Linked DNA regions of Macaca fascicularis. The protein of the gene in region 2 purifies or fractionates together with the protein of the main gene of each other region. This does not show direct contact. Links are inferred from orthologs where the notes say so. Each region holds a gene or a part of one and is shown on either strand. Other genes may lie near its edges.

What was found.
Region 1: the proteins of CLTA (region 2) and CLTCL1 purify together in Homo sapiens (co-immunoprecipitation; 3 studies listed by BioGRID and IntAct, with this or other methods). This does not show direct contact. The link is inferred for Macaca fascicularis from reciprocal best matches to the Homo sapiens genes CLTA and CLTCL1.

The regions. Positions count from the first base shown.
Region 1 is NC_088384.1:33,663,908-33,666,634, reverse strand, and holds the end of CLTCL1 (clathrin heavy chain 2), read right to left. Parts: intron 1,930-2,727; coding exon 1,854-1,929; intron 1,362-1,853; coding exon of another isoform or gene 1,342-1,361; exon of another isoform or gene 1,322-1,341; intron 1,094-1,321; coding exon 954-1,093; 3' UTR 590-953; downstream 1-589. UniProt on the Homo sapiens protein: Clathrin is the major protein of the polyhedral coat of coated pits and vesicles. Two different adapter protein complexes link the clathrin lattice either to the plasma membrane or to the trans-Golgi network.
Region 2 is NC_088389.1:63,154,786-63,158,604, forward strand, and holds part of CLTA (clathrin light chain A), read right to left. Parts: intron 3,043-3,819; coding exon 3,005-3,042; intron 1,497-3,004; coding exon 1,379-1,496; intron 1-1,378. UniProt on the Homo sapiens protein: Clathrin is the major protein of the polyhedral coat of coated pits and vesicles.

The DNA.
Region 1 (2,727 bases), on a different chromosome or scaffold from region 2:
GGCGGGGCCAAAGCGCAGCCAATGGCCGAGTCTCTGGGCGACCGCGAGCGGCGGGGCGGGGGCGGGGGCGGGGCTGCGGGAGGCGGGGCTGCGAGAAGCGGAGCCGTGGCCCAGCCCCGAGCTATGGGTCAAGGTGCACAGTATGCCGCTCCGCAGGGAAGCGGGCCTCGGGTCTGCGCGACTGGCGAGAGCAGCGGGATCCCCGGGGATCCCGGAGGCCAGGGGCATACCCTCCCCGAAAACACGTGGGGCTAGCCCAGTTCCTGAGGAACTCTAACGTTTCGAAGCTGGAGGAGGAAGGCGGGTGGCCAGTGAGAAGGGGCTACGCCGCCGGGTCCCCCTCCCGCAGCGGCCACGGGCTGGGACTCACCTGCCGGTTTCCACCCACACCTTTCCCGGATTTAGAGTTCCTGCATTCAGCGAACAAGGTCCGGAAAGACCCCAAATGCAAGCGGCTGTATTCTCCTAGGCAGCTTCTCTGGGCGCAGGTCCCACACCCCCAGAGGGCCCAGCAAATCTTTAATGGACTGCGGGGCCTAGGAAACTGGCCCCTGTCCCTCCCACCCACACCAGCACCAAGCAGAGCACCTTTGCCTGGATAAACCGACTTTAATATTTCAGATTGCCAGGAGGCTCAGAGTCCTGTTATGAGGTCCGGTACCTCCAAACAAGACGTGTTCACGTAGTCTTCAAACTGGCCTGGAGGGGGCAGCTCCAGCCAGTCGGGGGCGCCCAGGAGGAATCCCTGGCTCCAGCAGGAGGGCCCAGAGTCCAGACCCTGCTGGCGGCTGAAGATGGTCTTGCGCTGTCAGCCTCTACCCTGGCCTCCCCAGGCTCTAGGATGGCTCAGAGGTTGCCATCATTGGGTTTCACCAAAAATAAATATTGTCCAGGTGTCCCTGCCTCCCACTGCGGTCCCCTGTGCTGCTGGAGTGACACACTCCTTGGAGAAGTTAGTAACTCTGCAGGTAGAGTGGGTGGAGACAGCGCCCACTACACGCAGAAGTTGTACATTGGAGGCTGGTGAAGTTGGGAGCACAGGCATATCCATAGGGGAAGCTGGCAGGGCCTGCTATCAACCTCAGCTGCTGGCCTGCAGAGGGGGAAAGCCCACAATGAGCAGAGCTCTTCCTGCCCATGGGGGTCCTCTCCTGGCTACCCTGAGTAGCTGGGGCCCAGGAAGCAGGGTCTATAGGACCAGCCCTTACCACCCAGAAGCTGAGGCACCGAGAGAGTAGGCACCCAGAGGCAAGGAGTGTGTGGTCAGCCAGAGAAGCTGGCCTGGCTAGAGGATAAGCTAGTCCCCAAATGGGACACTTACTTAGTGCAATCAGCTGGGTCTCATTCATGCCCATCAAAATCTAAAAAAACCAGAATGGCATTAATGGTGGAGGGACACACTCAGCAGGAGGCTTGAGACCCACCAGCATGCTACACACTCACACCACATCCTCAGGCCTGCGTTGACCCAGCAGTGTCCCAGCACCCCACAGTCTCTCCAGTCTGCTCGACAGCCAGGCTGCCCTGGGCAGGTTCTCAGGTGCAAAGTTCCTCCCAGCACACACCAGCAACAGCCTTGCTGCCCAGGGGCCAGGCCCAGCAGGACACAGCAGCAGTTCACAGCTAGGCAGGCAGCCCCATCGGAAGGCAGGCACCCTTACAGCAGGGAGGACAGTGGCCATGCCAACATTCCTGGACGTACACATCTCCACACCCAGCAGCCAGTGGGATCCTTCCAGCCCCCACCCATCTATTCCCATCCTCATTCAAAGCCCAGCCAGGAAAGGGCAGTGGGACTTTGACTCCCTCCCTTCTCCCTCCCCAGGGGGTTGGGGGCTACAGGTGACACCTACCAAACATGAGAGGGGCCGGCTCCATCACATGCTCCTCTTGCTTGTGCAGACTCTCCAAGGCATCCAGTCTGTCCACCTGCAAGGAGGCGAGAGCATGTGAGCACCTGCTTGACAGAGTGCAGTCCCGGCCTCTAGGTGAAAGTAGAGTGGAAGGTCAGGACACAGGGCCTCCAGGAGAATGACAGTGGAGGAGGTGCACATGGGCAGAGGTGGAGTGGCTCAGTCCTCACCCCATGCACTTTTATAATGCAGCAAGGCATGGAGAGGTGAAGCCTCAGTAGCTGGGCTGAGATGGAGCAAAAGGTGGGGCCCCCAGAGCTTCCCAGTGGGGACTGGGGCAGTCAGTTGTTACAGGCTGTGAGTGTGGCCTGCTTATGGGGGGCCAAGTCCTCCTCTGGATACAGGGACACTGCCATTTACTGACTTGCAGGGCTGGGATGTGCAGGGAACACTGCCTGCTGCTGAATCCAGTCAGTCTAGTCTGCCCGCCCCTCCAAACCAGCAGAGAGATCATGTGGCTCTCAGAGACAAGTCACCTGGCACCTAGACACTTCACCTGAGAAGTACTGAGGACAAACTGCCTCCTCACTCTTCCCTGAGGCTTCACCAGACACTGACCCCACCCATGGCCAGAGAGTGAGGCGGCAGCACTGCACTGGAGGGGCGGCAGCAACTGTGCAGCTAAGATCCCCTCACAAACACACTGAGTAAGAAAGAGAAACAAGAATGTGCCCCCATGAGCTGGGGTCTGGGGGGCTGAGAAGTGAGGAGGGAGCAGGGGGCACACTCGCTGACACCTAGGGTGAGGGGTGAGCTAGGCCTGTACCCTCCCTAAACTGGGAGAGTGCCGGGGGCATCTCAGAGGGATGGCCCT
Region 2 (3,819 bases):
CAGTTCCCAAGAGGGAATAATACTGCTGACACTGTGGTTACATAGGAGAATGTCATTATTTCTAGGAGGTGTACATTGAAATATTTAGACATGAAGTATATGATGTCTTTATCTTAAAGTAGGTCAGTCAGAACAATTTGTGTATGTGTGTATATGTCTAAAACATATCATTTATATAAAGATAACCCAATATGGTGAAATATTAATTACTGATTCTGGGGGTGCACACATTTATTTTCCTCTTCTTTCAGTTGTTCTGTAAAGTTGAGAAAAGATGAATCTTAAAGTCAGCTGATTAAAAAAAGAAAAAACAAAAGGCCACAATGTGGATTATGTCCTCACACTCTGCATACTTCTCCAATCCACCATGTATAGACACAAGTCTCCCCTGATCATGAACCAACAGGTGACACTCTGTGTACACATCTCTTTATCAAACGCCAGGCCGTGTGGCTAGATGGTCATGCGCACTAAATGTTTAGAAAGCAATGTGGCTGATGGGGATGCGTAGTGACTTTGAAGCAAGGCAGACTTCAGCTGAAATTGTGGCTCTTACCATTTCTTAGCTGAGTATTCCAAATACTTATTCTACCTCTCCTCCGCTTTTCTTACCTGTAAAACTTACCTTACAGAGATATTAAGGTAGGAAAAACAAATTGTACATTTTTCCTAACATACCTCATTTTCCTCATGTTACCTTAAATTAATTCAGCCTTCAAATGAAAAATGGAGGCTGGGCGCAGTGGCTCACACCTAGAATCCCAGCACTTTGGGAGGCAGAGGTGGGCGGATCATAAGGTCGGAGATCGAGACCAGCCTGGCCAACGTGATGAAACCCCATCTCTACTAAAAATACAAAAAAAAAAAATAGCCAGGCATGGTGGCGGGCGCCTGTAGTCCCAGCTACTTGGGAGGCTGAGGCAGGAGAATGGTGTGAACCCGGGAGGTGGAGCTTGCAGTGAGCGGAGATCGCACCACTGCACTCCAGCCTGGGTGACAGAGTGAGACTCCGTCTCAAAAAAAAAAAAAAAAAGAAAAACGGACTGTGAAAGTCCATGGACATGTGAAACTTGAATCTTTCAAGTTTACACAGCACCCTATAAACACCACCTGAGGCTACTCTTGAGGTCAGTAATAGCATCACTATGCTCTTCCTGTGAGAGGATCTTGGGGCTCTCCGGCTACTCTACTCCTCACACAATGGCCTATGATTAGGCATCTCTGGGCAGGTAGCCTTGTAACCTTCAGGCTGAGAAGATATCTTCCCAAAGATCAGACAATGACACCGGTTAATCTGAAGTAAAAAGGAATAAAAGTAGAGTCCAGGTCAACTACTCCACTGAAAACAGATACCCAAAGACAGAAAGGGATTCCTTACCAAGGGCTTCCAAGCGTTCCATTTGCTCTTCTCTCCATTTACGGATACTTTCAGGCTCTGACTGCAATCGATCCACTTGTGAAATAGCTGCGTAACTGTCTGTTGGACCATTACTTTCCTTAACACAAAACACAATTGTCCTATATTAATACCAAAAATTCCTTCCTAAAATGCACTTCACCTGAGTTAGAACCCCTGGTTCTTTTTTTTTTTTTTTGAGACAGAGTTTTCACTCTTCTCGCCCAAGTTGGAGTGCAGTGCAGTGGCACTATCTTGGCTCATTGCAACCTCCGCCTCCCAGGTTCAAGCAATTCTCCTGCCTCCACCTCCTCCCAAGTAGCTGAGATTACAGGCGCCCGTCACCACGCACAGCTTATTTTTGTATTTTTAGTAGAGATGGGGTTTCATCACGTTGGCCAGGCTGGTCTTGAACTCCTAACCTCAGGTTATCTGCCCACCTTGGCCTCCCAAAGTGCTGGGATTACAGGCGTGAGCCACCACACCCGGCCAGAGCCACCACAAGCAACCAGTCAGAACCCCTGTTTCTAACAACAATGGTGGCTGCTGTAAAATGTTAAAGGATTACCTTAAAAGCAACAACATAGGCCAGGCACGGTGGCTCACGCCTGTAATTCCAGCACTTTGGGAGGCTGGGGTGGGTGGATCATTTGAGGTCAGGAGTTCCAGACCAGCCTGGCCAACATAGTGAAACCTGTCTCTACTAAAAATACAAAATGAACCAGGTGGTAGTGGCGTGTGCCTGTAATCCCAGCTACTGGGGAGACTGAGGCAGGAGGAGAATTTGCTAGAACCTGGGGAATGGAGGTTGCAGTGAGCCAAGACTGCACCACTGCACTCCAGTTTGGGTGACAGAGTGAGACCCTGTCCCACCCCCCCAAACCCCCCCCCCCAAAAAAAGGCAACCACATAGAACAGGTGCAGTGGCTCACGCCTGTAATCCCAACACTTTGGGAGGCCGAGGTGGGCGGATCACTTCAGCCTAGGAGTTCAAGACCAGCCTGGCCAACATGGTGAAACCCCATCTCTACTAAAAATACAAAAAATTAGCCAGGCGTGGTGGCGTGCACCTGTAATTCTAGCTACTCAGGAGGCTGAGGTGGACGAATCGCTTGAACCCAGGAGATGGAAGTTGCAAATGAGATGAGATCGTGCCACTGCACTCCAGCCTGGGCAACAGAGACTGTCTCAAAAAAAAAAAAAAAAAAAGACTCAAATAAATGTTAATCTTTACAGAACTATTCCATGTGCCACTCACTGAACTAAGGAACATTACCAGGTTAACCTAATCAGACTATAAACAAAGATGGAAGAAGAACTATTTAAAGTATTAGTACTAACTTACTGCACTTAACACAGTGTCATTTGAAGAGTAGTTTCTTTAGAATAAAGGTGGTAACACTAGGGGCAGGTAAATAACATTTTAAAACAGTTCTCTTTTTATCAATGCTACCTCTCTTTAAATCTTTCCACTTTGGTAGATAACATACCAGCCAGTAATACATCCAGGAAAGTCAAAGGACTGGGGTTTCTTTCTAGGTCAATTAAAATCACAGGAAAGGAAAACTCTCAATCACTATCAATGAATAGAATCAGAGTACTCTGTACCTGGTAGTATTCACCATTCATTACTCCATCAACAGCATCTGCAAGACATAAGGTTTTGGTCTATCAATAAAGACTGGTCAAACACTGGGCCAAAGGGTTGTACAGCAGAATACAGCATTATATGCTGTATGAACCTTGAGCTACTAAATGCTATTCCTGTGGTAGGTGCTATATACAACAAAATAATAAAACCAAGATGTGCTTATATACAAACTTCACCAAAATGTGGACACATCTGTCCTCAAGCTCCCAAGTCCAAAACCTTTTGATTTTGTTTTCTGTTTTCTATTTTACAGTGGTAACAAATGGAAGACTGGCAGAAGAGTCTCAGAGAACAGTGTTTCTCTATGAAAGTTCTGCAGAAGAAAAAAAAAGTGTGGCCTGGAATCACCCATAGTGAGCAGAGACCTGCAGCTTCATCTTTGAGATAGTCTTGCTCTGTCGCCCAGGCTGGAGCACAGTGGCCCAATCATGGCTTACTGTAGTCTCGACCTTTTTTGGGCTCAAGTGATCCTCCCACCTCAGTCCCCACGGGAGCTGGGATTACAGGCATGCGCCACCACGCCTGGCTAATTTTTCTGTTTTGTAGGGAGGGGATTTCGCCACGCTGCCCAGGCTGCTCTCGAATTCCTGGACTCAAGCGATCCACCCACCTCGGTCTCCCAAATTGTTGGATTACAGGCATGAGCCACCATGCCTGGCCTCTCACATTTTTCTTAATTTTCCTAGTTGACTTTTACTCCTATATGTCAGTACAAAAATGAGTTTCTTGTAGTTCATTATGTCAGTGGCCTTTTACTACTTTAAGCCATGTG